2 linked regions of the Arabidopsis thaliana genome follow. The protein of the gene in region 2 interacts with the protein of the main gene of each other region in a pairwise test. Each region holds a gene or a part of one and is shown on either strand. Other genes may lie near its edges.

Evidence for each region.
Region 1: the proteins of AT2G36410 (region 2) and YLS5 interact in a two-hybrid assay, tested with the Arabidopsis thaliana proteins (one large-scale study listed by BioGRID).

The regions. Positions count from the first base shown.
Region 1 is NC_003071.7:16,229,281-16,245,904, reverse strand, and holds YLS5 (Class I glutamine amidotransferase-like superfamily protein), read left to right. Parts: upstream 1-10,537; 5' UTR 10,538-10,697; coding exon 10,698-10,877; intron 10,878-10,963; coding exon 10,964-11,434; intron 11,435-11,512; coding exon 11,513-11,878; intron 11,879-12,096; coding exon 12,097-12,276; 3' UTR 12,277-13,046; downstream 13,047-16,624. Other genes in the region: CPK20 (calcium-dependent protein kinase 20), read left to right, coding at 28-195, 290-514, 611-691; AT2G38905 (Low temperature and salt responsive protein family), read left to right, coding at 1,433-1,513, 1,604-1,687; AT2G38900 (Serine protease inhibitor, potato inhibitor I-type family protein), read right to left, coding at 2,012-2,205, 2,546-2,618; AT2G38890 (uncharacterized protein), read right to left, coding at 3,257-3,394, 3,491-3,648, 3,746-3,905, 3,986-4,209, 4,363-4,509, 4,599-4,700, 4,780-4,810; NF-YB1 (nuclear factor Y, subunit B1), read right to left, coding at 5,589-5,597, 5,686-5,766, 5,855-5,925, 6,191-6,324, 7,021-7,220; AT2G38870 (Serine protease inhibitor, potato inhibitor I-type family protein), read left to right, coding at 8,855-8,873, 9,166-9,359; AT2G38840 (Guanylate-binding family protein), read right to left, coding at 13,790-13,931, 14,009-14,280, 14,350-14,562, 14,728-14,985, 15,486-15,653, 16,063-16,128, 16,209-16,228, 16,308-16,367 and 1 more. UniProt on the Arabidopsis thaliana protein: May be involved in oxidative stress response.
Region 2 is NC_003071.7:15,271,427-15,287,105, reverse strand, and holds AT2G36410 (transcriptional activator (DUF662)), read right to left. Parts: upstream 8,338-15,679; 5' UTR 8,066-8,337; coding exon 7,751-8,065; intron 7,399-7,750; coding exon 7,288-7,398; coding exon of another isoform or gene 7,255-7,287; exon of another isoform or gene 7,110-7,254; coding exon 7,029-7,109; intron 6,917-7,028; coding exon 6,836-6,916; 3' UTR 6,380-6,835; downstream 1-6,379. Other genes in the region: TRM27 (nucleolin-like protein), read right to left, coding at 1-608; GRF3 (growth-regulating factor 3), read left to right, coding at 14,489-14,702, 14,801-14,992, 15,207-15,561.

The sequences.
Region 1 (16,624 bases), 960 kb from region 2:
GAGTTATACGTGATGTATTTGATTCAGGTAATAGCAGAAAGCTTGTCAGAGGAAGAAATAGCAGGATTGAAGGAAATGTTCAAGATGATAGATACAGATAATAGTGGACACATCACTCTCGAAGAACTCAAGAAAGGTTTGGACAGAGTTGGTGCTGACCTTAAAGATTCAGAAATACTAGGATTAATGCAAGCAGTAAGTCCATTTTTATACTGAAATCACCTTTTGTTTACTATATGATGTGAGATGTGTGAGATAATAATTTGGAAAAATATGAACATTTGATCAGGCGGATATAGATAACAGTGGGACAATAGACTATGGAGAGTTTATAGCAGCAATGGTGCATTTGAACAAAATAGAGAAAGAAGACCATTTGTTCACAGCATTCTCTTACTTTGACCAAGATGGAAGTGGTTATATAACCAGAGACGAGCTCCAACAAGCTTGCAAGCAATTTGGCTTAGCGGATGTTCATTTAGACGACATTTTACGCGAAGTCGATAAAGACAACGTAACAACTCATTAATATGCAATTGATATGCTTTACCTATAGTTACTTGCAAGAACATTGTTCTTTATAATGATGTTATATGATTGTTTTTGTCAGGATGGAAGAATAGACTACAGCGAGTTTGTGGATATGATGCAAGACACTGGTTTTGGCAAAATGGGTTTAAAGGTGAGTTGAAGAAACAAAACCTCAATGACCCCATTTTTTCCAACACTTATTTTTTCTTTTCTCTTTTTAAGTATAATTTAATCTTTGTGGATATATGTATATGGGCTGCTTACTGCTTAGCATTAGCATTCTTGAGCAGGTTTTTGTCCTCTCTGTTCCACATTTTTTTTGTATTTAAGTTTCTCATGAGTCATGTCCTTTAACTCTCCCTTTACTCAACTAGGAGAAAAAATGTATAGGTTTCACTTTGGAAGATAACCAAAGATTGTAATTTCATTTTTCTTATATGTACTTTTAGTAGGTCAATGTAAAACTCTAGAAATTATTGAAAATGTTTATGTAAATTATTACACAATATCGATTTTAATATGTAAATCTAGTGAGTGATAAATTATTAATCTTTTCACAATAAAACTAAAAATTCTTTGAAAAGAGGGGATGGAGTAAACAGATTCGAATCATAAACATTAAAATGTTATCTTCTTGGCCTCTCAAAAAAGGAGAAATTGAAAATATCTGTGAGATTTCCGTGGAATTAGTGGAAGCAGTTTTGAAGTAAAGCAGTTTGTTTGACGTGTTCATCGCTACGAAAGCGTCTCCACGTGTCACGTGATACACTGCAAGCAGTACACGTGTCAAACACCACTTCTTTTACTTCTTGACCAAACTTTCACACCACTTCCCTTCTGTCCACAAAACCTCTCTTTCTTGTTTCTGTTTCTGTTTCTCTTCTTCTCCAAAACATCAAAAATGGGATCAGAAACTTTCTTGGAAATTATTCTGGCGATTCTTCTACCTCCCGTCGGCGTTTTCCTTCGATATGGTTGTGGGGTAAGCACTAAATTACATCTTTACTTAGTTTTATGATTAATGAATGAATCGTTAATTGATTATTGATAATTAATGTGTTAATGAATGCAGGTAGAGTTCTGGATCTGTCTCTTGTTGACGATACTGGGTTACATCCCTGGGATCATCTATGCTATCTACGTTCTTGTCGGATGATGACCAAATTCTCTTGTAAATTTTTCATAATCTTTATTTAGCCTTTGTTGTTCTTTTCTTATCGCTCTTTGTAATAAACAACTCTTGCGTTTTCGCTAAATAAAATACTATTTTTGCTTAGTTCCTAAATCACCAGGGCTGCCAAAATATACACCACATCATCCATTCAAATGCGTTATATGATCGGACACCAGAATCATTCAAGCAAACAATAGATGTTACATTATGACCAACCAACCAACTATGCATGCATTATATATAGTTTCATTTATTCATAGTAAGGCGCCTACATGGCTATAGCATAATGGTGGTCCATATACATGTCTAGCCGGCGGTTGGGTTTCTGACAACGATACGGATTTCGTCAACCCAAACCCTAACGCGGTAGCAACTGAGGTCTTCAGTCACATAATTTCCATCCGAAACCACGACAACGTTGAGGCTCGAGTTCTCTCCTTTTATCACCGAAGCCGCATAGTCTCCATTTGTTCCTAAAAGCTCCGGCCATGAGTTCTTCCCTGTGTGTGGTCAAATCAACCACATCAGATTGGTAAATCATTTGCATTTGGTAAAACAGTAGGTCCAACGGTTATTATGGAATCAAACTATATATCCCTACTAATACTATATGGCTCTCCAAATATCATATATTGGGGATTTGTTGTGTAATCCATTGTTATTCAAACAATAGATGAAACATAAATCTGTGTCAATCGATAAACAATGCATGCTCCAAATTATAATTAATTTCCTCAAGAATGTGCTATGTGAAACTGACACATGAGAATTAAATAATAGTAAACGATTTGACGTGAGCGAGAAGAGAAAAGATTAAAGAAAATCGATAAAGGGCGGTACCAATATCAAAGAATGAAAAGTAGAAATTGAGGATGAAAGACGAACCAATATAACTACACCACTCGGTTGCCATTTTTCTTCCTCTTTTGTTTATGTATATTGCGATGATGTGATTGTTTGCTATGATTGTCCTCAGGAATTTGAGTCCAATTTATACAAATACTAGGATGTATGCAGATGTCTATGGGTTTGTATAACACAGAGTCAAGTTAGTTTCATTGTGTTGTCCTTTGCATTAGCCATTAGGTGTACCATATTTTCTTTGTTAGATAACACGTGCATGGTGTAAAACGGAGCGGTTCTTCAACTTTACTATTATTTAGTAGAACATTAACTTACTTTAAAGGAAAAAAGGATTTATACTAAAGCTTACTTAATAAATACTCTTACGAATTAATATATATGGAGGTGCAATCTCAAATAACAAGTTATAAGGTATTTTGCAAACTCAACACAAAATTATGGCTTTTTTTATAACAGTTCGTAACTCAAAATATATCTGATCGATCCGATGATCCGACCAAAAACTCATTCGGTTAGTTTTCTGCTCCGAAATGTAGAACATTCTTTTTTTCGGGCTATTTCTTAAAGCAACAAAGGAAAAAAAAGGCAGCTACTACAACCAAAAGAAAAGAAGACAGTTGACTTATCCAACTCAACATGCAAACGATGCCTTGTAACGCACCCAAGACATATATATCATTGCCCGTTTCACTTTCGTGTTTTGCGTTGTCCCAGAATGCTGCGGTTTTCTGGTGTAGAAGAAGTCTCAAGTTTGGATTTGTGTCTTCTTCTTCTGTTTGCTTCAAGAGCATTTGGTTCTCTGTTTTCTTTCTCTCCGTTCTCCTGCTGTAACAAAAGTTTGTTTTTTCTTCATCATCTCAGGAATCTTACATTACAAGATATTTGCTAGGTTCAATAAAACGAATTTCTTAGGAAGCATACCGAGTCGAAAAATCCCATCTTTGGAAGTGGTAACCTCAGACCAGAGTAGGATGATGTCAAGTCCTTGACTGCGTAACTTGAATACGATGACCTTATGTTAGATTTCGATCCAGATTGTTCTTCAAAACCATGATTCTTGTGTTTTTCCTTATTCCTCTCTTCAAAATAAAACAAAGATGTGCAACTTTTAAAGATGTTTTGATTTTCTTCTCGTTTTGAAGAAAGAATAAGATGTATCATCAATCATGTCCTCACCGAGTTCACTTGCAACACATTTCTTCTCGCGTATAGCTTGACTAGGAGTCAAAGATTTGGAGATGGATGATAAAGAAAAAGAAGAAGAAGAAGAAGAAGACACTTTTGGTTGAGGAATGAGACTCAAAGGTTGAACTTTCTGTTTGTATCCTTTAGTCCTCTTGACAAACAAAACCAATTAATAAGTAAAATTTAGATGAAAGCAAATGATTGAAACAGTTTCTGAGGTTTTCCGTTTACCTTTATACCATCTGGTAACTTACGATGGGTCTCTTGAGTTACTGTCTGCTTCACATTCGGTGAATTACGTAAAGAGGCTCTCAGGTCGTGGAACAGATCAAACTCAATGCTGGCCACAGAAAATCTGCTTCCTTGAGTTGTCGTCGTATCAGCAGACTTACGAAGCTGCGTGTTACTGGTGAAACCATTGTTCACAAGACACAACTCCTCAGCATCAAGAACACCTTAGCATAAATATAGACAATGTCAGCCTTGAATATACAGAGTCAAAGCTAAATTATAAGGTTTGATTGTTATATATGAGAGGAATAGTGGAATAGTGTGAAATAATTGACTAATCAAGTAGGGTAAAGAACTTTGAAGTAAAAAGATGAGACCTGGATCGGTAAAAAAAGCATTGTCCCAAGCAAAACTTGGACGAGCATCGGTTTTCGAAGGAAGTGTGTGATTATGATTTACTTCAACTTCAATCTCATTCTCGTCAATCTTTAAGCTCCCAAACAATTCTTCAGGATCTAACACTCCTACAAACCAAAGTGGTAAAATCATTGGAATCATATAATTTAACATTTTGTTTCTACACAAAACCAATCTATAGGAAATAGGAAGAAACCAGGGTTGGTGGAAAAAGCAGTGTCCCAGGCCAAGCTTTTGCGATGGTTCCATTTGCTCTCTTTGTGTGCCATCGGCTGCACAAAGTCAATCTTTACTCTTGCTGCTGCACAAAGTATAATCAGTTTCTGAAGACTAAAGAGATTTTAGATAGGAGAGGAAACAGAGGAAGATGATTCTACTTGATGATGAACCAGCTTCTTGAAATTCCATAGCCTGTTCTTGATTTTGAAAAATAGAATTTTCAAATTGGAAAAACAACAGCCTTTATTAAGAGAATTTATGGAGAGACAAAATTTTGAAATTTGTAAGTTTTCGTGATTTAAGCATTTGATTACTCTCTCAAAGCTTTTCAATTCAAAGCAAAATTAATTGCTGCCTTTACTTTGTGATTTTGTAAGTGTAGTATTTGATACAGATCAACTGACTTAAAATGTAATTGTCTATACCCAAAACAAAGGTACTGTACAAATTTAATTTAAGGATTTTGTATTAAATGAGAATAAATTAGCTATGAAATTCCGAAAGTGAATCGAAAATAACAACAGGATGTGGACAAATTTTTCCTTCATTCAAGTGTTCTCAACATCTAACAGAGAAATCTTTAAATACAACCAACTAAACCGGAAACAATAAACCAAACGTTCAAACTAACATAACCGAAATTGAGAGTAAACCCGAAATAGTTGTCGATCAGCTCAACTATAAACAACTCACTGATCTCTAATTTCCCCTGCACCGTTTTAGAGAATTTCACGTTAGACAAACAATTTTGAAACTAGCCATAGTTCATTCACACAGCAAAATATAACATGATCAGCAAGTTTACAAGGCATGTCCTACTATCATCAGTTGTAACGAAGTGAAGATTGGATATGAACCTACATGCATATAGACTATGCTCTTCATTTGTGTACATGAGGCCGTGTGATAGAGAGAAGAATTACTTGATCATTTGGCGATTGTTCTTAATCACTACTTGCAACTTCTTTTACCAGCTCTGTGATTGAATCAAAATGATGAAGTCAGAGCTAAGTACAATATAGGCTGTATAGCATTGGTATCATCTATACTTGTCAAAATCATACCGGCATTTCTTCACCAGAAACACCGCCACCAGCATCTCTATTTGATCCATCTCCACTCTTTCCTGATCCCTTATTATCACCCTATCATAATTTCACAACAAAACGTAAGAAGCCAATGGGCAACACTGGAATGGAATATAAAGTAGAAATAAGTATGTGGTTTATTTACCTCCAACTGCATCAGCAGGTGGTGTGTCAGCAACCAATCCCAGGGAATGAAAAGAACCGAATTAGTCTCAACTTAATAAGAAACATTTTGATTTTATTATGTATGTTAACAACAAAAGCACAAAAGAGAGAGTAATAAATGTCTTTCAAAATTTACTAATATGCATCCTGACTGTTGGTCTAGATTTATCTTTCTTGCTTCAAAAATTCTACACAAGACGTATTGAAGGGATTGTAAAACTGCTATCATGGCAAGCTTCGATGTTACTCACAGCTACTAATCTCTTGACTAGGATATTAAGGATTTCAGAACACATGATTAGGGAGTCAAAGCAACATACCTCCCTGTACCTCGCTAGGTATATCTTTAGAGGTTCCAGGTAATCCTCAAATCCTAATGTTGCCATTGCCCACAACAAATCATCACCATTCACAGTTTTCCTTTTCTCTTTTTGACACTTATCACTGGCCCTGATTAGCAGAAACAGATACCAGTCAATTGGCCATTACAGTCAACGAATCAACATAAGACCAGCAAAAGAGACTTAAGCGCAACATCAGACAAGCTTATCTTGAACCAATAGATAAATCATAGTTTCATACATGATAACTTATTTCTTCCTAACAAAGAACGGGGGCATCTGATGTTATAAGAAACATAAAACTCATCAATCAGAGACCTAAAACGCATTCAACACAAGCAATTCCTTCATGATGAAAAACATATCTTTTGCCTTAAATGAACAAAAAGGAACAAAAACAAACAGATCCTAAAGATAAAAGAATCTTTGAAACATGATCAAGATACGGCTTTTATACCCTAAGATGGTTAAATGAAGAAAAAAATCTAACAATTTATTTGACAGAGTTAAGATATAACACAGTAGAAGCATGTGAAATAATCTGCAAAATGGTCTATAGGAAAGGAACTAGGTTAAGGTAAACCCATACCAAACAATGGTTGATTAACATTGTGACAAAAAAAAAAACATAATCTTTGCTCTATAAACTTCAAAAAACTCTCTGAGCTAAACTCAATCCATAGCTAGTTTAAGAAAACTATCTCTCACAAACCCAAAGTTCCAACAAATGATCAATTTTTTTCACCAAAGAGCAAAATATTTTCCAACAAATTCGATTGAAAGAAGAAAAATTGGGAATGCATACTCGCTAGTGATGAAGCTGATGAACTCAGAGACGCATTCCTGAACTGTATCCTTAGCATCTTTTCCAATCTTACCATTAGGAGGCAACGCTTTCTTCATGATCCTGCTGATATTAGCTATAGGAAGGTATCGATCCTGCTCCCTAACGGAACCGCCGCTTTCTCCGCCATCTCCAGCTGGGCTCGAAGGCGTATCCGCCATTTATACTCTACAGAAACAGAACAAACACTCAATTTGAAACCTAAACATGGTCGATGAAGCTAAAGTAAACAACAAAAAAGGAAATCGAAAATGGCGTACAGATTGGGGAAGATGGAAACCCTAGAACTTGGAATTGGGGATAGTCGTTTTAGTTTTAGGGCTTTAGAGAAATCGAATTTTTCTACGAAACGCTGCGACTGGTGTTTATATGATATGATTACACGTTTTTTTGTATTTGTTCTGTATTAGCTTTTGTAAAAGTTTTCAGACAAGGATTAATTTGGTAATTAATTAGACAATTTAAGAAAACTATATGAACAATTTGACTAAGGGTGACTTTTTCAATCTATTGTATAATAATTAGATGAGAATTTAAACATAAATTCATTTAATTTTTCAATGAATTATCTACGTAAATAAATCATAGAAAATTAAGATACTCTAATAACAATACCAACGACAATGTGGATTCAAAGTGCCTAAAGAACAAATTCTTTTACTTATGTAAAAAATCCTAAACTTTAAAGAACAAAAATTAAAATACAAAGATAAGTAATTAACATTTTATTGGGCTTCTAACTGGATTTGGTTCTATTTATTTGGGCCTACGTTTGAAAACCTCGGTCTTAAAGAATTTGTGTCCAGCTCCAGCACAAGGAGAGGCTTATAGACCATATGTCTTTTGGTGTCTGTTTCAATGGGCTTACATGTTTTGTTTTCAGGCGGCCTCGTCTTCTTGACACACACAAGTTTGTAACATTGGGCAGTGTGAAACATACACAAAACTAAACACTAATTAATTCTCAACCACAAATATTTAAGTGTGATGGTGACTTGGTCTCATATAATATGTGATTTTGTAATTTTGTTCGAAACCCGCATATAGAGTTGTTACCAATTAATACCTAAATCTTTATTCCGGATACGTGCTTTTACCAATCTTAAACAGACCAAAAGAAAAACTATGACTAAGTTGAACTGTATATACGTGTTTTAAACTGTATATACATATCAAATTGAATATTAACTATATGACAAGATTATCAAACGGGAACAAAAAAAAAACTATATGACTAAGTTGTGATGTTGTTTGTCAAATTTTATGTACGTCAACAATTCAACATAATTGACATTATCGTTGTTTGTGTGTGTGACAACAATTGATTATAGTATTTTTATACATGAATTTTATGAAGGACAGTTTGGTCATTTTTGTCGGCTAAGTGCCAAATTTGGCAGAAGCGTTTTTTTGCATGCAAACAGAATTCAGTCGACGCTAGAAATATTTTTCACCTTCGTTTGTTTTTCAAATTTCGACATTATCTTAGCCTTAGAAACCTTATCTTGTTCTCGATAAGGTTTGAACATCGTGATATAAATATGTACATTTCAAAGCTTTATAAAACAAAATCAGAAGTGTCAAAGCTTTTACCAAACAAATTAATAATGTCAACGAAGGGGCTATTAAAAGCTGGTTTCGTCAAAGTTTGACTTTTGAATCTGCAACCTCACCGACGACACCGACACCAAGACGTAACGTACGTATCCGATTCTATAAATGGGACTCAAATCTCTAAAGGTGAGCATACAAATACATCAGAAGACTACATAAATATATACAAGAGTGAAGAAAAATGTCGACCGAATGTCCTAGTAAGTTTTTGTATTTGTATTGTATAGTTCATAATTAAAGTTTTATATGTTTGTAAATAGTTAGCTAATGTTCAATTAGATATGGATTCAAGGCATTTAAAATTGTAATTCAATAGCTATAACATATATGATTACATTTTCTAAAGTCTGTTAGAAGGTTAATTATGTTACATATGGTCAATCCATGGTGATGTTTCTAGTTCTTTTGTTTTCATTTACTCAAATATGAGCTTCTTGATCTCCAAAATCCCAAACGTAAATGATTGACCGATCTAACGTAACGTGATCGCAGGGAAGAACTCGTGGCCGGAGCTTACGGGAACAAATGGTGACTATGCGGCCGTGGTGATAGAGAGAGAGAACCCCACCGTCAATGCTGCCGTGATTTTGGATGGGAGTCCGGTGACCGCAGACTTCAGGTGCGACCGGGTCAGAGTTTTTGTTGATGGAAACCGTATCGTCGTCAAAACCCCCAAATCCGGCTAGACTTGTATAATTTCTATATTCATAATGAAAAAGCTATAGACGAGTCGTGGTTGGTTAGTAATCAATCATGTAAAATAATAATCGTTTGCCTTCATAATTTCTGTGTTACTGATGCCTAAAGTTATGAATGAAAATAGTATCCTATATTTCAATTTGTAATGTTTCAATTTTTTTTTGTCAGCCAAATTTTTTGATTTAAAGTTCAAAAGAACAGATTGTGATAACGATTTCTAAGAGAAAAACACGTGTGGCAAGTGGCAACGTGTAGACAACAAATGGTTGAGGGGAGAAGGAGCACCCCGACCTAGTCCTCCGCCTTGAAGCTCTTCCAAGCAAGAATCAGGAAAACCAAAAATTAGCAAATAATGGATAATGGACCATTTCAAATAAATAAAATAATAAGTGAAGTACAAATTAATAAATTAAAGCAGGCCTGTTTTGCTGCCAAAATAAATAAATTAAAGCACTTATGATATATACAAATTTTAGAAAAAGTCATATGATTAACAAAATTTTACAAGAGTATTTTAAGCTAATAGACCGTTTAGTGACTAGTGTGATCATCTTGTAGAGGTCTATTACACGTGTTAGTGACTAGTGTGATCATCATACACATGAATTTTTCTACAAAATACACATGGATTTTTCTACAAAATACACATGGATTTTTCTACACATACACATCCCAGAAGCTCTCCTAAATCCAAGCTTTCCACAACCCAAGGGTCCCATGCATAGTCTAGGTTTATCGAGGCCCAAGCTTAGCTTATGCATACATGCTCCTTGTAGCCAATATGCTCTAGAATCCTGACTCCACAAACATGAGATTCATGTAGCTCAAGTTCTCCATAGTCCAGGCTTTGGTAAACATGGCTACATATCATTCTTTAGATTTTCTAGATTCTAGCTTCCGAGAGACCGTACTCTGAACGTTAACTCACGAGTCATGTGCATTAAATGAAATACATACACGACGTTTTGTATACATCACATTCAATCTACCAAAAGTATTATTTTACACCAACCAAATGGATGTAAAATAATACAAAATGGAACTATTCAACATAAGTATACCAATTCAATGTCCATTTCATAAGTATACCAATTCAGCCACATATAATAGTTAGCAGAAACTACATACCATTCAAAGTTATAGCTAGTTTATATATTTGTAATAAGGACTTTTCACCAGTTGGACTTTGAAGCCACCAAAAAAAGTAGGTGAAAGTGAGTTGGTGGGGGGATTCAAAAGTTCCACATGACAAATAGATAATCAGTATAAATAAGATTAGTTCTTCTTATATTGTCTTATTCAATGCACACAAACATTTACCCAAAATGGCATCGGCGGTTCAGAAATCAGCGTTGCTCTTATGTGGAGACTACATGGAAGCCTATGAAACGATTGTTCCTCTCTATGTTCTCCAATCGTTTGGGGTTAGCGTTCATTGCGTTTCACCCAACCGCAACGCCGGCGATCGCTGCGTTATGTCTGCCCACGATTTCTTGGGCCTCGAGGTTCCAATTTTCCCACTAAAACGAATTTCGAACTTTCTTTTTCTTTGTGATAATTCGCTTAATTTTGTTTTTCTGTTCTAAAAAAGCTATACACCGAGCTTGTCGTTGACCAGTTGACTTTAAACGCAAACTTCGATGACGTCACTCCGGAGAATTACGACGTCATCATCATCCCAGGAGGCCGATTCACGGAGCTTCTCAGCGCCGACGAGAAATGCGTTGACCTCGTGGCGCGATTCGCCGAATCCAAGAAGCTGATCTTCACTAGCTGTCATAGCCAGGTTATGCTGATGGCGGCCGGAATCCTCGCCGGTGGTGTGAAATGCACGGCGTTTGAAAGCATAAAGCCTTTGATCGAACTCTCCGGCGGTGAGTGGTGGCAACAGCCTGGGATTCAGAGCATGTTCGAGATCACCGATTGCGTTAAAGACGGGAATTTCATGAGTACGGTTGGTTGGCCAACGCTTGGTCACGGCATTAAGCTTTTGCTTGAATCTCTTGGTGGCAAAGTCTGTAGCTTGGAGAAGAAGCAAGCTTCTGTGCTTTTCCTCATTGGGGTGAGTAAAAGGCGTAATCTTTAGTTATATCAATCTTGTTTTGATCATCAGACTCGTTGAGCATTACTCTGTTTTTAGGACTATGTAGAAGATTATGGGATCAATGTACCGTTTAGAGCACTACAAGCTTTAGGTTGTAAAGTGGATGCTGTGACACCGAACAAGAAGAAGGGAGAAGTGTGTGCAACGGCGGTTTATGACCTTGAGGATGGACGGCAGATTCCTGCAGAGAAGCGTGGACATAACTTCTTTGTGACTGCATCGTGGGATGATATATGTGTGGATGATTATGACTGTGTAGTGGTTCCAGGAGGGAGATCACCTGAGCTATTGGTGATGAATGAAAAGGCTGTTGCTTTGGTTAAGAGTTTTGCAGAGAAAGATAAGGTGTTTGCAGCTATTGGACAGGGGAAATTGCTTCTTGCAGCCACTGGTGTTCTTAAGGTAAAATCATCACCTGTCTTTTCTTTTGGGAGGTTATGAGCTCTGTCAAAACAGAAAATGTACTTGGAGGAAATAGTATTCACTAATCTTGTAATGAATATAGAAAATGTGATGTTGAGGATACAATGGTGATCCCAATGTTTATATCAAGTCATGCTTGTGGAATCTAGTAACTAACTAATTTTGTTCATGTGGTGTTTCTCTTTATGGATTTGCAGGGGAAGCGATGCGCGAGTGGGAAAGGGATGAAGGTGATGGTGAAGGTGGCTGGAGGTGAGGCTGTGATGGAAAAGGGATGTGTAACTGATGGGAAGGTTGTGACGGCAGCATCAGCCACGGATCTGCCTGCCTTTTTGTTTGATTTATCAACTGCTCTTGGTCTAACTGTCATGTTCTAAGATTTTGCAACTAAAAAACATAAAAGATAGTTTGAGTAATAAAATCATATCTTCAATTTGCTCAATTGAAGTGAAAAGAAAAACAAAAGAGCTCGATTGTAGTGTCTCTGCTTTCATGAGTTCATGGCACTCCTAACAAACTATATTGTAGCTGCTTCTTGGAAATAAAAGCATGTAGTTTGGTGATCAAGCTGATTTGTGTAGCTGCTGCTTCTTTTTGACCACATAAAAGATTTAGTTTGCATAGGATATAGTGACTAACTTTTGAACCCCTACTCAAAACCATTAGATCAAAACAGAAGAATATTTCTTAGAAAAGTTAATATCTTTTAGCTTGAATACTCTCTTTTTTTCTTTCTTGGATTGCTTGTGACACCATAATCTTTTTTTCTCTTCTATATCATCATTCACTGGGTTTTAGCCATGTCTCTTCTACGTTTTGTGTCGATGGAAACTTTTAAGTCACCTCAAAGTCTACTTCTAATACTCGCCTGGATATGGATGAAAATCTTTGTCCAAGAAGTACTTGACTACTGGATCACTTCATCTTTCCCTAAGATTAAGTGTTTTTTTAAGAAAGCAATATGAGGAATCCAAACTATTTGCAGTGAGAAGGGAACACGTCGTCATCTACTTGTTCATCCTTTTTGAAATAGCAGATTTGATGCGCTTGGACATTACTTTTGTCTTACGTAATCATACCAAAACTTCTCTTATCAGGGCGTTTGTTATGAGAATTTGTTTAGACCTTGATATCTTATGTGTAGTCATATTTCTCGTTCATCCAAATACGGTTACATATAGATTCCGTGCCGATGTCGAGAAGATGGAGGATACGAACGATGGACTGCTTGTTAGCGATTCCCCAAAGTCACCCAAAATTGATATCATAGCGATTCCCTATGTAATAATGTTTAGCTGCTAGCTGGCTAGTGGTTTGTTCATGTTTTTTTTTTGTTCTACTACTAATGTAACTTGGTCGCTTCTAAAATTTAACTATTTCATTTATGGTTTTGTTTTTAGGGCCTTGTTTTGAGCTATAGCTTGTTCTGTTTTATTGGCCTTATAATCTAAAGAATAGATTAAAAGAGAAATCTAAGAACAGCAAAAACAGAAGAAGATTTTATAAAATATGTCTTTGCACAACGATTCATGAATCCAACAATCAAAATTGCAACACGAAGGTTCTGCTTTCATAAATTTATAATATACCAACATAAACAAACTACTTTGAATAAATAAACAAAATAAAAACAGACTCTAAGGTTTGTTAGCTCAAATTAGCTGTGATTGAGAGAGTATAAAACCATTTATGTATATGAAGAGTTAAACATTACAAAGGCATTCTATGTAAATGGTACAATCAAACCAACTTGGATCGATCAATCATCCTCTTTCATTCTTCTGCGTCCAAAAAATTGGTAGTAACGGGCAGAGAGCTTCTGATGATAAAAACAACGAGCATGCCCGAGAAGATGCTATAAGTATAATGGGAACGACGAGGAACATGTTTTTACTCAGACCGTTCCCTATTCCGGCCATTCTTCTGGTTGTTGTACAGCGGAAGAAGCCAGCGAGCCCCGTGTTTCCTCTTTCCATAACACCGCCAATATAGCACACAAAGTGCAATTATGCAGACTATAGGAATCGCCCATCTATTTACCAAAAACACAAACAAATTTAGGTGAGCAAAGAGATTGAGAGAAGTTTGCTCAAGACTTGTTTCTGTTACCTGTCCAAGTCGAGAACAGGACTATACACGACATTTTCCCATGTCCCAACGATGAAATGCCAGACTGGGTTGTAATAAAGAGCTTCTGCTGTCCAGAACATCCTTGTGTATGTCTCCAAGAATATGAAAAGTATCCACGCCGCCATTTCTAATAAAATGAATTTTATGATAAACCGGCCCACAACCACCATTACAAGAGAGAACCCAACCAGCCAGTTGAACAGTCGGTTATTGTATTCTTTGATGAACAAAGACCGTGACTTTCCCATCATCTGCACACAAGTTCTCATATCAAATTACAGTTCAATACTTATCACATAACATAGACATGTATATATTACCTTAGTTAATCTTTGCTCATAATTTTGTTTTGAAGGACCAACACATTGCTGCTCAAACGTTTTGTTGCAGTACACAAAACCTGCATTAAATTTAGCCATGGAAGGGAGTCGGAGAGCCTGTAAGTGGTCCATGTCATCTTCACAACTTGTATATAGCGCCTCACAGAGCTTCGACGATTGGTATTCATTTGCAAGAACAAAATTCTTATATACCTGGACAATATTTCAAGTGCACAAGAATGAATAAGAAAGTAATTTTGGAAATCTTATTTTTCCGTAGACTACCAAATTTGCCAACACGAAATTCAGAATCATCCCTTTGTTTCATCCACTAAGCCACACTTAATAGAAATTCTATATTAGCATAGGAATTCATACCTCCTGCATTTGTTCATCCAACTGATCGACAGATTTCTTTGCATGTTGTCTGCCAAAATGTTGTGCATCAAATGCTTTGATAGCTTCATTATGCGCCATTTCATGGGCACTTTGGAGAGATTCTTCGGACATAGGTAGTCGCACTCTTACCATCTTCTCATTGTACAGCTTCACACATCTCTCAACAATATCTTTATTGAAAACCTCAACTAGTGATCCTGTTGATGGGATCTCTCCTTTATTTAACGCATCCAATATCTAGCAATCAGAATTGGAATATATCAACATACCATTTCGTAAGCATATAAGGCATATTATAGAAATCATATAAGCCAATAGTGTTACATATCAACAACGTGTACTTATGCTCATCAGATTTCTAGTAACAAATACATCACTTATAAAAACACGCACTCATAAATTGATACGTAATGGGATACCACCATAGCACCAAAGGGTATGAAACTATAAGTATCAAGGACAACATGAATCAAAATGACCACATTAAAAAAAGTTCTCTACCATTGTTTATACAAATTTTAAGAACAAGCTAACTGGATAACTTAAAGTAGCAAGGAAACACAGCCATCCATGAGAAGAGAAAACATGTCTATTTACTTGATAAAGTATGTAAGAGCACCAGAGAAAGCAGCCACTTATTCCTTTTGATCTTTCAACGACACACTTCCACTCAGTCATATAAATGGTTTGAGATATTTAAAGCATACAACCATACAGAAAAAGAAATTGACACTCACCTGTTCCAGGAAAGAAATAAATTCCTTCCCGTTTAGTGTTTTCCCCTGCACTATCTTTGGGCGGATAATACTAGCAACGAGCTTTTTCAATTGGTCACGCCTTGCAACATATGTAGAATCCAGGTCCTCATCCTTCAGATCACACAGCTTCGTACGCATGAGATGAGGCTATATAACAAAAACAAGAACAAAGTTATCAAAACGAAGACCACCCTATCAAGGCAGCAACAAAGATTCCACGTCTGAGTCAGATCAGACAATGATTTCATAATGTTCCACATGGAAGAAAAAATAAAATTTCCTCCCAAGAACTTTGGAAAAGCTATACTTCAAGGATACACAAGCACTGAAATCTAAGGATTTTGTGCACACTTCAGGATGACTTAAAGTTAAAGGTAACCACCACAACCACACTAAGAAAGTTTTGTATTCGCGCATGATTCAGCAAAGATATTCAAAGATAACCATAAATGTTCATGCACAAAGATAGCCATTTTGATTAAAGTTTCATGCTCTGTATTTTCTTTCTGAAAGAAAGGCTGGAAAATATGCAAAGTAGAACACACAAATGCCTTACCTGCGGTAAGCTAAAGGCTGTGCTGTTGTCACCCATTATAGCCAAGGAGTCCCGAATCTGGTTAACCTGAAAAAGGAGACAACAAGAATGATTTCTGAGATAATAATGATGATTACCTGTACGATGCAGAACACAAGAGAACATACCTGGTCAATATTTTTGTTACCTGAAAACATAAGAAACAAGAAAACACAATTAACAAAGGTCTAGGAGACATTAGTTGAAGAACAAAAAGGAGCGCTAACCATCTTCATTAGGGACATGTCTGAGAGCTTCATCCACCATTTGCTTCACCGATTTCCCTTCTGCATAAAGTTGGAAACTTGGAATAGTGTTAATCATGACCAGATCACTTGCATAAAACACAGAGAAAACTGGAACATTGAAATGGATCACACAGGACCAGGAGCACACAAAAATACTGCTTGTTATATCAGAGAAGAGAAAGAAAAGCATTTCAAAACAGGCAGAGATTACATAGAATATAAGCACTGTTTAAATGGAACTATTATGAATGTTGTAGTCAAAAGCACCATGCACTTACGCAGAAAATCACGCTGGA
Region 2 (15,679 bases):
TGACCGGAGGAAGAAGGAGTTGTTTGGAGAACAAAATGAAAAGGGCTTTCACAAAAGCATTTATCACTAATCTCCACGATACGCTCTCTCCGGCTACTACTCGTCGGTTCCGACCCGCGTTCCAACGAAACTGCGTTTCCATCAGCGTTATCCAAACGCGGTTTTGTTATACGGTATGTCAGCAGCTTCAAGACAGACCCGAACATACCAAACCCGTTTCCTCTGGTCCGAGCTTTATTGGTCTTAGCCTTCTCTGACTGCTGCTTCTGAATCCTCGCCGCTGCGTCCAAGAGAATTGCGGCGGTTCTCGCCGGTATCTGAAGGAAAACTCGACCGTCACGTATCTTCTTCTTTCCCGGCGACCGGAGCTCAAAGAGTGGAGACTTTCTCGGGTCAGGAGATTTATGAGCTGCGAAGAAACAAGAGTTCTCGCAGGAGAACAAACCAGGAGGAAACGTGGCGACGTTATCGGACTTTCGCTTCTTGACACGCATATCGGAGCAACCCATCTGAGAACGAAGGTTGCCGATGTAATGGTTAAGATGAAAAGGCTCTTGGTCATCTTCAAGAAACTCATGTAAATGCTTCTTCTTCTCCTTCTCAGCCATTGCAGAAAAGTTGAATTAGCTTTTAATGTGTCCCTCTATCTCTCTCAGTGTGTGTGGAATTCAGAATCATGGATATAGTAAAACGAAGGGAAGCTTTTTAGCTCTTTTCTTATAAGAAGAGAGAGAGAGAGAGATTTTGGTGAAGGATGAGGAACAGTTGAAGACAAAGGGTGAGACATTGGATAAAGAAGAGTCAATGCTTTGGATTTGGCTACTTCCTAGCATCTTGAAAAATAGGAAAAAAATAAGAAAAGTAAAGTTTTCGTTTTATATTCTTTCTTTCTTCATATTGGATTATAATTGACGACATGTGTCTTATGCAACGGTAATTTTGTTTGTAAAAAGAAAGTTTAGTTGACATATTATTATCAGAGTGGGCCTCAAAGACTCCTGAAAAATAGAGTTTACGTGTCAAATTTAAAGAGTCTATTTGTAGTCGTGTATATTTTTATTTATCCATTTCTTTTCACCGGTTAGTGAAAACTCGACTGAGCAGTAACTTTTTATGGGCTCATGTACTACTACATTTATGTAAAGCACAATCATTTTCACATGTAAGAACCATACTGTGGTAACGAAGGAACAACAAATAGACCATTTTTATATTACTTGATCGTAATTACAAGTCATTCAATCCTTCTTGCATGATCATTGAAATAACTTCACGTAATTTTTAACTCCTTTATGCATGACATATCTCGCTCGTTTATCGCAAATTTAACTACTATTTAGTGAACGAACATGCATAAGTTTTTTTTACAAGAAACCACGGAAGAAATAAGAGTAGAACTATTACTATATTTATAGATAAAATGTTGCTCTCTCTCGGTATGATGATGGTTCCTAAAATGACAATTCTTGTTGAGGGATGAATGATTTAAATTTGACATCATAACTGGAGAAGAGAACCAGATAAAGCCGGCTTCATGTAGGTTCGGTCCAGCTATTGTAGGAGCCAGGAGGACAAAATTTGGGGGTGCTAGTTTGCATGTGTTAACTCCTATATTTCCATGTGTCTTGCTTGAAGAGTTGAAGTTGTAGTATCGATATGCGAGTCATGATGTTGAAAGACAAGCAAACATATAGATTCAGAGACCAAAAATAATGTTCAGATTCAAAGTAGCGACGAAAAGAAATCTCAGTGGAATAAAGAAAAAATATTCAGTGGATCGTGGACGAATATTGAATATATCATATGCTTCTTAGCAAAAGAAATATATCATATGCTAGCTTTTCTTATTGTTTGGTACTGAAATCACTGGTTTTTTTTAACTATGAAGAAGCTTTTATATGTAATTTATTAGATTTGTGACTAGGTTCTGAAAATATTTTGTGATAATTCAGTTATTTTTTAACTAATTTTTTTAAGAAAACACTTTACACTTTACACTGAAACATTCAATACGAGTTGGTACAGGATTTGGTCTAGAAGAAATATTTTTAAAAGTTGAGTGATTAATTTTGTGTTTATGAATATCTAAGTACTTGGTGAAATGGACTGGACAGTTTAGTGAAATACTTTATTTTTTCTTTAAATAAATGGACTGACGTTAATTGGTTTAGAAAGCAATATGATATGATTTTAGTGATAACAATCTAATTGGCACTTGACGTAATTCCTAATCCGAATATTTGATTTATGATTGACAATTAAGTAAAACAAAACACCCCATGTTCTACATTTAACATTACCGGGCATAGCACGAAATCTGTTGTTGATTATTTATTTTAAGAAATCCCAAATAACAGTGGTCCGAATCTTAACTTACTCATTGGGAAATTTTTAGTATCTGACGATGTTGAAATCAAGAATAGCAATCATACCTATAAATCATGACGAATCAATTGTTTTACACCACTATTGATTTTTTTAAATAGATTTCATGATAATGATGAGGAAAAATAGGACATTATCTATTTCGGCTTCATATAGTTTTCGAGTAATGAACAGGTCCGTATTTTTGTCGTAAAATGTCTATGATTAGTATCACAAATTTATATATTATCTTGACCCTAACAAACACAAAGAAGAGAGTATGATACCAATTTATTAATCAAGGCAACTGTTGGCAACTACTAATCCAACGACTGATTTGTCCTACGTAACACACGTTTATATACTCCATTGACGTAGATTGTCCACACGTGAAAATTTGCTAATATATACACACAAAATATGCATATACATCGAATTATTTTCTCCTTGAAAATTGAATTTATAAAAACGAAAAATATATTTAATTACTCATATTAAAAAAATTGCATTGGGCAGGACAATAAAAGGTTCGCACCATAAATGAGAAAGAAAAGTTGTAGGCTTTACAGCTGTGTACTCCTTTTAATTAAATTCTCAGCATCTGTGGACTTTATGTTTTGTTTTTATAGTATATATAGTGGATAGTTGAAAAAAAAAAAGTATATATAGTGGATATTTTCACTATGGTCCGACCTATAATTTCATGTGGCACTACTGTTTATTTAATGTTTAGCTTTTGGCTTGAATTTAAAAAATTGATTTAAGGAGAGGTTGTAGAATGATATGTTACATATAATTTGTTTTACTGTTGATCCACTCATACATATTTTTCAATTATTGACATATCTGTGTTTTAAATAATACAGTAAGTAGAATATTTTTTCTAGTTGTTGTTGTCTCAATATGAATGATATTTTTTTCTCATAAAAAGCGAAGTCCACTAATTGTCACCACTTATATATAAAAAAAGAATTAATTGCAATTTGGTAATACTATACTGTATAAATAAATAATTTAGCGAAGGAGAGACACTGTTTGTTCTCGGATTCCCCGCTCTCTTAAAGATTTAATATTAACGTAACCAACTTTACATATATGAAAATGAATAAGATTTAAGATGAAGTAAAGCTGCATTAGTTTAGACTATTCTGATTATTCTGATTAGATATTTTGTTAATTAGCTGATCTTTTTTTCCATCTGAGCATGCAGCAGACAAAAAGATTTTGCTGAACGCGTGGAACGTAAAACGACACGGTATATTTCTGTTTTGTCTTTTTAGTTAATTTTATTGTTAGGACAAAACTTTGTATCGACCAATGAATTAAAATATCCCTATTTGTACCATGAAATGTCAATTTATGAATCTGCCGACGGATTTTATTTATGGATGTAAATGTTGCAAGACAACAATCGTATATTAAATTGAAATTTCAAAATGTATGTAGACATGTAGTTACATGCAAGTTTACGTATACATAAAAACTAAAAAAATTATTCATATGGAGAGAAGCAAAAAAAAGAAAAAAACTTAACATTATATCACTTTAGGTAGAAACTTTAATTAATATACGCGGGAGAAAAAATTGACTTTTGAATTAGTATCAACGTTTTTGGAAATTATAATTCGTACATATTGTAAATTATTTATTGAAACTTTTACATTTGCGACAAAAAAAAATTGAAAAACAAATGCAGTTTCGTGACATGATACTATTCATCAAAATAAAATAATACGACTGTCGTTATTAAATGTGTGAGTGGATAAATAAATGTAGATGTACTTTATACATATACATATTGGCTTCCATTCGAGTAATCAACTTTATTTTGAAATTCTCTAGAAATCCACGTTTGCTGGTAATGGGTAACTGTTGATAACCACTGTACGTGTACTTGAACTGCAAAGTGCAAACCTACTATGTTTTTTTTTATTATTCTTTCATTATTGTTTACTTAGTTTTGATTGTGTACTTAATTTCATTAATTCTGTACATGCCTTACTATAATTTATTAAAGGAAATTTAATAAAACAAAATATTTGACTATTTTCTGACTAATTGATTTTTTTTCAAAGTAGTAGATATTTGTAACAAATTAGTAAGAAAATAATGGAATTTTGTACTAATAAATAATATATACAATATTATTCAGCAGACTTACTGTTTCCGCAGGCTTATGTATTTCATCAATGTATCCTTCTTTGCATTATTAATAAAAACAGAGATGAAAGGGAAAAAAATATCTGGTTTGGGACTGAGTCGAATCTAGCTGTAAAATACTAGTACTTCAACGTATAAGCAGCAGTCTGAAATTTTTGAAGTGAGCATAATAAAATGTTAAAATCAGTGAAAAAGTTGGTATGGAAGAGAGAGTTGCCATTAACGTAACAGCCAAATTGTCAATAAATTAGAGGCAGCCAAAGCATAAGGTCATATGACTCATGAGAGTCGTTTAGAATCCTAAGGGCGAAGGCACCTTTAGACGGTGAGTGTACGTGTCCGTATCTAACCAGTTTGATATAAAATAAATTAAGTCTTCAATTTTTGACAATTTGCCCACACAAATTTAGAACTTTTTCTGAAGAGTGCGAGAACATAGACATGAAGACTGAAATGAGTTTCACGTAGTTGGCCAAATTGTTTAACTAAATTGAAGAGGTAAATTTCAAAATACCAATGAGTTTGAAACGATTAAAGAAATTAAAATACCAGAATGGCAAAATAAATAAATAAGAAAGTGGTCAAACTTTGACGTAAATAAAATGAAAATACTTTTGGAAAATCTTATTTTTGAACCACAAGGGATACATTGATACATAACATAATATAACAAAATTATGTGACAAGTTATGTATATTAATATAACACACAGGTATGGGAGAGAAACTGGTTATCAACGTAACAGCAAACTATGTCACTATATCATCTAGTAAAATAATAGGTAATAAAAATTACTATGTATGTCCTGTGATGACTTATGATAACCTGCATTTATATTAGTTTGGTTTATGAACTACTTTCTCAGCTTTCTACGTACTGTCGTTTGGGTGTTGGGTCCATTTTCTACATTGCACATATATGTATTTGATTTCATATGTAAAATGTCATAAGTCTTTTTTCTAGAAAACGAAAATGTCTTAAGTCATTAATTTCAAATAAAACTCTGCCTTTTGGTTAGGACAAGAAACACGAAAGAGATTTGTGATCACAAAAGGTGGAAATATCAAAGCTCATAGTATTTTGTTGCGTTCACTTTTTACGTCCTAAATAATTGATGAACAAAAGCACAAACTTGCATGCCGATCTTGTTTTGATTTTTATTGTCTTGTTTGCATATATACATAAACGTACCAAATACAACAAGACAAAAAGAAAATATGTAAATGAAAAAGCAAGGATAGCGAGTTAAGAAAATATCATATATAAAAGGCAGAGTCTGACGAATTCAATATGCATACCCCGCCCACCAAATAAAGCAATAAAAACGGTCGTTATAACGGGTAAATCACATGTATTATTTCATTGTTGTCTCATGATATTGGATTGACGCTGTTTTTCTAAATGTGCACGCTTTAAGTAAACAAAACCCCAACGTATTTACACTGAAAATAAGAAGAAGAAAATGCATGTTATTAAAGAACGCATTACTACTATGATGAAGGTAGAAGAGTATGATGTCGTATAGATCAAAGATCAAATCTTCTCTATGACGGCATGAATGTCGCCGGTCCATTGACGAGACCAAATAACAAGACCACAAATTCATGTTAGCTTAAAAACGAAGAAGATGTTTTATTATTTTCGTTTACATCCAAATTAAAATACTAGAAAAAGAGTTAGAGAAAAACTAAATTTGTTGAGTATTTGAAAAAGAAACAGTAGTGGCTAATGTATGTTCGGTATAGCTATAAGAAGTGGGCCTGCAGTTGGGTCCAAACGCTATAGTAGAATAGTAGCTTAAGGCAGCGTAACATAGCTAAAAACTGTTGAGGTTTTATAATATGAAATTTCCCGTTTTGTATAGTTCGATGGTTTGATGTATAAACCAGAAAGGATTTATGCAAATAAACAAGTGAAAAGATTCTGCCGTTCCGACAGCTTTTAGATTTCAAAAAACGCACGCGAGAGTCACTTTTCTTCTTTGCCAACGAGAAGAAACTTTACTAAAAAGCCAAAAAAAAATAATAAATTCTTCAAAAGACAGATACAAAACATAATACAGAGAAAGAAAGAATAATCACTGTGATGAGTTTCAGTATCCTAAGAATCTCCCATTTTCCCATATCCCTAAATTTGGTTAATCAAAAATAAGAGAGAACCCACAAATTTTACAAATCAAACCCCCAAAGACTTTAAAAAAACTATAACAATAAAAAAAAAAGCAACCCACACATCTTACATGATGAAAATTTTAAACTAGGTAGGTACATCACACAAAAGAACCCAATTAGTTCTTCTTGAACAACCTTTTTCACACGGTTTCTATGCTCTTGCTCAGCTCCTCCAGCTTAATCATCCTCAACTTCTCGCTTTCTCCAACCAACTGTTCCATCTCCCCAAAAAGAAAAAAGAAACACCATTTATGTATAACAAGCGATGGAAAACTCGGTTTTGTTCCCGCAGTTTCTACATATTAAGAACTTAGTTGAGAACTCGGAACTAACCTCCATGAGTTTTGTGATCAGCTGTACTTTCTCCCTGTTCTTCTCGTTGAATGTATCAAGTGCTTCTTTGTATTCCCTTTCCTGTTTCATTTCATTACCAAAAATCGAATTTTGTTCAGCCTTTCAACAATAGCAAAATAGTTTATTCGGTATGGCATACCCGATTGTTAAAGTTTCTGCCTTTAGGGATTCAGATGGTTGCCATAAACATCAATTCAAAACGCTACTAAGACACAGATGATGCTAAACAAAACATTACCTTCTTTTGAACAGTGGAACCTAGAGGTTTGAGTTCTTTGTTAACACTATCAATCTTCTTACGAACCACAGAAACTTCCTTCCTCATAGGATCTGCCATAGACTCAAGCTCCTGTTACAAGAAACAACACAAGTTCTTACCTTGAAACACAACATAACTCCATCAAAACTCAAATCATAACAACAATTACACTTGGCCAAATCCTAGGATCTGCCATAGACTCAAGCTCCTATACAAGACACAACACAACATAACTCCATCAAAAGAAACAGTACATGTCCAAAGAAAAAGTACAAAAACATTTCTTCTCACTTAGCCAAATCCTAGATCTTGAAAACCCTAAACAGAGATGCGCCAACAAACATCGAATCTCTATATCTTCTAGGGTTTATACAAAATAGAACAACTTCTCAAACATGTTAAAAACTCTAACTTTGAAAAGGAAACAGAGTAAAATTCAAACCTCACGAATAGTAGAGAGACGTTTGGTTTCTTGTTCGACCCGACCCAATTGAGCTTGGATCCGTTCACGAACTTCCATCCTCCTCTTCTCAATCTCATCTTCTTTAGCTCTAAACGCCGAAAGAGCAGAACGAGTCATCTCTTCGTCTTCTCTCGACATATGACTACTAAAACTCAAGCTTCCCGTATGCAGAACCATCTCGTTGCTCTGCTGCTGCGGCTGAGGCTGAGGCTGAGATTGAGGCTGAGGAGGAACAGATTCTACCGTCGTAACAGCTCCAGCTCCAGCTCCGTCGTTGGTTTGACTCTGAGTCATCTTTGACTTCTTCTTCTCCTTGAGGTTTTTGCTGTTCTTCTTCCTTAAACCAAAGCAAGAACTTGAATCCTCAGTGGACTTACGGTGAGGTTCTTCGATTAACCCTATCTTTGCTGATTTGGGGGTGTTTTAAGAGAAAGTTTGAAGCTTTGTTTGCAAAGGAAGGTGTTTTAATGGCGAAGAGACGATTTGCTGTATTCTTAGTGGGTTTCGGTGGTATTTGGTAAAGCAAGCTCTGTTTCTGTATTTAAATAATAATTATATTATTCCCATCGGTTTAATTACACCATTTCACCTAATCTTAATACTTAGTCATTACTTAATTCGATTGTCTTCTGTGTATTTTTGTACCGTCAAGTTTTTTTTATTTTATCAAATGGAAAAATAATGCATCTTTAGGAAAGAAAGAGTTTTTGCCTGTAAAGGAAAAGCAGAAAATGTGCCATTGCATAAAATAAAGAATTTTTTGGCATTGGCGTATATAAATGTAAATGTTACAGACTGTTTATTAAAGTTTAGTAAAGCAACGAAAATGACCTAACTGCCAAGTGCCAACCATATCCAACCAATCCATATGTGTACCATTTATTGTTCTTTAGCATATTGTATATGATTTTCATATCAATGTATTCATAAATATCTCTATCTATATGTGAATCTTTAGTATACCACCTCCACCAGAAACCAAAATATCTTTAAAACACTTTGATTTGGATTAAACAATATACGTCATAGCTGTAGATACAAAAGCAAAAGACGACTTATCAATATCCTCTCTAAGCTTTTATACAATAAGTTCAACAACTTTCCATCTCATCGATACCTTTTTGAATCGAGTCTTTTAGTCCGAATTTTATGGCTAAGAGTTCGACGGTAAATATTATGAATCTGTGGTTACAAACGTTAACTAATATACACATAAAGTTAAACTTGTATAGAGCTTTCAAATCCTGAAAACTTGTAATAGTAGATTAAAGAGTTACTCTTATGCATGGTCGGATAAATTCATAGGACGGAACCTATATTAATCCTGAAAACATGTACATCTGTATTGACCAACATGAAAACCTAATGGATTACTTATATGAACCAATCAATGATCATCAATATTTCAAAATTTTAAATACTAGACTGTTAACTATAAAAATATATAGTATCATTTGTAAGTTACAATCGTATCACCTTTTGGTCTGACAGGATTTGTTTTTAAGGTTTAATATTTTGTCAAGAGAAATTAGTCTTCTGTTCTACATTGACTTGACCAAAGCTATTATTGTCCAAAGACTTTTCTTACAAATGCATTATTGCCGGTCAAAACCTAAATACATTATCACTACACTCTACACGTAAACTAATCGAAATATTGCCCATTAATTAATATCATAATAGGCTAATAGAGTATATACTATTTTCTAGTTGTAAAAATTTAAACCAACGATCTGAATCATACATGGTAAAATTTCCAAAAAATAAACTTAAAAATAGTACAAGATGGAAGTAGTTTCGGCTTTGTATTTTTTGGGCCTTAACAAAGATTCATTGGAAGCAAAGAGATCAATATTTGTTGGGCTATATAATAAGTAGGAAACTTCTGTTGCGTTCGTGTTTATTTTCTCAACATGATAGTCCAATGTTTTGGGCCTAAACAAATACAAAGTAGTTTTAAGTGGCCGTTTATACTAATTCAGTATCTCAATACAGTAGACCTTGAACAAAGGTCCTATTCTTTACCAGTTGCAACTTACAAGGAGATCAATCTTTTTCTTCAAGTTTGTACTGGATTGGGCTTTTCCTGATAAGGTTTAAATCTCTGTACTTGGGCCCAAATGACTACTTTCTCATTGACAGTCTCTATACTTTCAATACCCAAATAAGCTTTATCCATCATATCATGTTTTGGCTCAAATTGGCTCATATGTGAGAGATCTTATTAGAAAACAACTTGTCTAGTAATCTAGTATATTGATTAGAAAACATATAGAGAGAGATTGGCATGACATGCAGGCGAAGTAGTCTTTGCCTTGGATTCTTTTGCGTCTTTGCTAAATATATAATACTAATATTGAAAGATCGCATGTTTGATGCATGTTGACACGTGCGGTCATGCCCTTAGATACCTTGTGTCACCAATGTGTTGTGTATGCTCTCTCACCAGAAAGATCTATTCTTTCCTTTTTCCTTTTCGTTTCTTTTTTTTCATATTACTAAAAATAACATCATGTGTTAGGTTCTGGTCCAAGTTTGGTAGTAGCTAGCCTTATTTAGTATGTGGTTAATATAAACAACCAATAGTGAGCTGCTGTCACACACAAAAAAAAAAACGACCAATAGTGATATATAAATTTTAATTTAAAAATCTTGGCATATGCTTAATGAAGTGTTAGTAACATAATTTTTACGCCTACATTTTTTTTAAAAATATACATGTTTTCAATCTCGCCAATATCATATTTTGGCCAAAAAAGAAAAAACCTTACCAAACAACAAAGGAAAAGAAATTTTGGTATGGAGAGAATAAATAAAGCACGTGGGATCACGTGAGGGCTCGCGTGCCGGCGTGACTTGCCTTTTACTACAAAAAAAAACTCGTAACAAAGAAAAAATTGGGACCCCAAGTGGACGGAGCCTGACCCCTTGTGGTGGTAATAAAGACATAATATACGTTTCTTTCTCATACAACAAAACAAAATAAAAACTATACAATAAAATATTTAAAAATATTGGTCTGACAGATTTGTGTCAGAGAAACGTATTTGTCTTCTCTTGAACATGTGAACTCTCGCCCTCCTTTGCCTCTTCTTCTTATTCTCTGTCCTTTGCTCTATTTCTATATTTTCAGATTTGTTTGTACAAATAACTCGTTTCTCTTCTTAATTAATTAAAACAATTTTCCATCACAATTTCATAAATCAAAGTACGACATTAACTTTTATCGCCGACGTAAGAAAAGAATAAGGAAACTTGTGTTTTCTTACGAAAAATATTGATAGTTATATCATTGCCTCGTTAATACGATACTACTACTACGTACATCAACGATTCGACGGTGGTTCTTTTAACCTATTAATCTTATATGTCAGAAATAGTTTTGTAATTACGATGTATAGTTTTGTGACTATTCAAAATATAGTTGACTTATTATTTTGTTTGCTCGAATGGTTAAATCTGGTCAGTCATGTTCATGTAGATCAGTGCCAATGCATTGTAATGGGTTATCTCCTTACTCGTTGGAGGGTGTATAATTTCAACAATACTGATATTGAAACACGTAGTAATTTTTTAAAATAGAGCATGTAAAATACATATGCCATGAAAAGAACTGGACAATATATATCTTAGTTTGGTATGTAAGAATATTGATGTAATATAATTTTTTTTGTAGACTAACATAATACGGTTATTGAAATTTGAGAAATTTTATAAGAATAATATAGTTAAGATATTATACAGTCAAGAGAAGCTTTACATTAAATAACTTAATCTCTTATGAAATAAAAAAGAAAAAAAATCTATTTACTAAAATTATAAATAACAAAGTTTGATGTTTAATTTTCATCAGATAATATGAAACTTATTAAAATTATAGAAAGATAAACCGTGAAAAGGGAAATGTGATTAAGATTTTGTATTATGTGATTAAAATTTTGTTAAATGAATTGGAGTGTGAGAAAAATGTGAATAAAGATTTTATGAGGGTAAAAAGTGAAAAATAGAGGAAAAGAGAGGGGGTAAGAGTGAGAAAAAGAAGAAGTACTATGAGTAGTCAAATCAAAGATGAATCACAGCCCAAAGAGAAACAAACCCTCACCACCCACTTGGTTACTCACTTTTATGCTTTTTACTTCTGAGCTTTCTCTGACACAGCCCACCTGCTTCTCTTTTCTCATTATTACTTACTTCTCTCCTCTTTACTTCATTTTCTCTTCTTCTATCTTTTTTTTTACCTCAGTCAGAACCGAATGTAAAACCTAAATCAACCCAAAAAGAATGTAATTGTTGTATACAAAATTGAATAGAATACAAAATCTAACCGTTGATAAAAGATGAAAGAAATTATTGGACCAAAAGTTTGCCTACCTTAACCAAATTTGAACCAGAAAATTTTGGTTTCAGTCTATAGTAAAACTGTAAAAGATATAATAACTCATAAGTAGTCGTTTGTTCTATAATTAATACATGACTCCTAAGACTCTTGAGACATCGTTCTACCATTATTTTAAAGCTTCGGGGTTTGAGTTTAGCTAAACATTCTGACATACAATTCATGAATTCATTTTCTTTTAGATTTGTTAAAGAAAACATGAGATACATAGTGATTGAGAAGTGATAGTTAGATGGATGTCAAAAAAAAAAAAAAAAACAGAGAAGTGATAGTTAGATGAAATATTTTCCCACATCTTTGAACTAGCTAATAATGCAATACGTATAGGCGATGACGCCCATGAGACTTTTCCCTTGGATATGCTGAGACTCTGTGGAAGCCGTTCGCTTTAACATTTCCGCAATGACGCAATCCGAGGTCTTCCAACAACCAAAACTTCATACGATACTCTTCAAGCATCCGGGCCTCTCAAAAACCCTCAGGTGGATTAACCTTGCTCTAAGAGTTCTCATAAACAAGGATGCATTTGTCATGTTTACTCAAGACAACATGAACTCGTACCACGCCGTATAAAAGTTTTTGACAAAAATCTTGAATAGCTAACAATTATTTGGCAAAAAAACTTCCAAGAATCTCTGCAACTTTGCTAATAGAGAAATTACTTGAATACTTTTAATATTTATAATTCACTTAACTATCACTTAAAATATAAACATTTACAACCATTTTTTTTAATGTTTCTCAAGCCTGATGATTTTTTTTTTTTTTTGGTAGGAAAAGGGGGAAAATCCGCCAATTTTATTAAAAAGAAAATACGAAATTACATTCGGATAGTTCTTGAAAACGCAGGCCCATTTACATCCTCCAAAACAAAAGAAGCAATAGAATCCGGAACTGAATTAAAAACATACAAACCAAGAGGTAAAGAAAACGCATAGTTAGCTAACCCGTCCGCAAGACGATTGACCTCCCTATACACGTGAGAAATACGGACTAACCAGTCCCTTGATATGAAGCCATAACACAAACGTAGTAGGAAAGATAGAGGATGAGAATCCGGTATCCCTGTCTGTAAAAACCCAACCACGATCTTCGAATCCACTTCCAGCTCAAGGCGTGTTATTCCTTGCTCCCAGACTATGTGTAACCCATAGTAGAGTCCCCACAACTCTGCTAGTGGCGCTGAACAGATTTCGATATTCAAAGCAAAAACCCCAACCCAGTTCTCGTTCCCATCACGCACCGCACCTCCCGCTGCTGCTAACCCGGGATTCTCTCTCGAGGCTCCATCCATGTTCAACTAGCCTGATGAATTTATTAAACTCATGTTTCCATTTTTTTTCCCACCAGTTATGTTAGTTTGATTAATTTTTCAGTCAATTTTGGCATAACGCTTTAAAATAATTATATCAAAATAATATTTTCAGTTTTTCTGCAACAGATTCATTCCACCAAGAATTCAGCCGATTCTACCCGAATTAATATTACCATTTTCGGACTAGATCTATGAACGAAGGTACAAAATTAATCAGTTAAAAAAGAAAATAGAGTGGCAAGTACTACATCTAGTGCCGTATGATATGATAATATAGGAACCTAAACGAATTTTATACTAATTCAAATTTAAAAGTAGTTAGGTTTGTCACAAATGCAAATTACAAATTATATCGACGTAACGCTTACTCATTAAATAATCTAAATTACTTGGTTAAAAGACTAATTAAATATTCTTAACAAGTAGGCTTTTGTTTTCATTATAAAACAAATTAAAAAGCTATACTAATATAAAAATGGAGATTGGTATTTCCAAAGCAGCAAAGACAGAAAAACTGCAGGTTATTATCTCTCCATCTTCATCTTGCAGAGTGGTTCTTTCTGGGTTTTCTGACTTGCTTTTCATTTTTTTATTGATACAAATGTTAAACCAATTATTTTAAATAGTCTTTGAGATTAATGAAGAGAGATTTGTGAACACAATTAATAAAGAGTTATACTATAGTAGTAGTCTTTTTTACTGTATAGTATTTTCTCCCCGCATCTGTCTTGTCTCACTGTCTTTTTCTCGCAAGTCTCTCTATTAAAAACCTCTTTCCCTCTACTCTGTCCTTTCTCTCTCTGCAGAAGAAGCTCAGATACAGAAACTGACTACCAAGAACAAAGCTTTTTCCTTCGAGCAAAGAAAGTTCTTTTTTCTTTTCTTTTGCTCTTCGTAACCCAACCAACAAGACTTTCATAAGCTATTAAATCAGAACCCTGGAAGACAAAAAAGGGGAAAAACCATTATCCTTAAAGTAACCAACACTTCTCTCTCTCTTTCTTCAATGGATTTGCAACTGAAACAATGGAGAAGCCAGCAGCAGCAACAACATCAGACAGAGTCAGAAGAACAACCTTCTGCAGCTAAGATACCAAAACATGTCTTTGACCAGATTCATTCTCACACTGCAACTTCTACTGCTCTTCCTCTCTTTACCCCTGAGCCTACTTCTTCTAAACTCTCCTCTTTGTCTCCTGATTCTTCCTCCAGGTTCCCCAGTGAGTCTTTTCTTCCTCTTATCTTATCTTTCTTGATAAAGAATTAGACTTTTCATTCATATAGTTTGTGTTTAATTGATTTTGATTCCTTTTTGTAGAGATGGGGAGCTTCTTTAGCTGGGCACAGTGGCAAGAACTTGAACTACAAGCTCTGATCTACAGGTACATGTTGGCTGGTGCTGCTGTTCCTCAGGAGCTCCTTTTACCAATCAAGAAAAGCCTTCTCCATCTATCTCCTTCCTACTTTCTTCACCATCCTCTTCAACACCTACCTCATTACCAACCTGCTTGTGAGTCTCGAGAACAGTCTTCATCTATCTATTTTTTAAATATAAATGGGTTTTGTGCTACTGGTGTTGGAGTTGTGTTCCCAAGATCCAGACTTTCAATATTAGTATATTATCTCGTTTTGCCAATCTTGAAGATCTAAACATGTGTGAATGGGATTAAGTAGGATTAGAATCTTGTTATTGATCTGATATGTGATATGAATGTTGAAAACAGGGTATTTGGGAAGGGCAGCGATGGATCCTGAGCCAGGCAGATGCAGGAGAACGGATGGTAAGAAGTGGAGATGTTCAAGAGACGTCTTCGCTGGCCACAAGTATTGCGAGCGCCACATGCACCGTGGCCGCAACCGTTCAAGAAAGCCTGTGGAAACTCCAACCACCGTCAATGCAACTGCCACGTCCATGGCTTCATCAGTAGCAGCCGCAGCCACCACTACAACAGCAACAACAACATCTACGTTTGCTTTTGGTGGTGGTGGTGGTAGTGAGGAAGTGGTTGGTCAAGGAGGATCTTTCTTCTTCTCTGGCTCTTCTAACTCTTCATCTGAACTTCTCCACCTTAGTCAAAGGTAATAAAAAGAAACTGTTTTTTTTTCTCTTAGGTCTGTCTGTTTTAGCTGTTGAACTTTATGGTCAAAACATTAAACTTAAACACATTGACTTTTTTATTTCTTTAGTGTTGAGCCA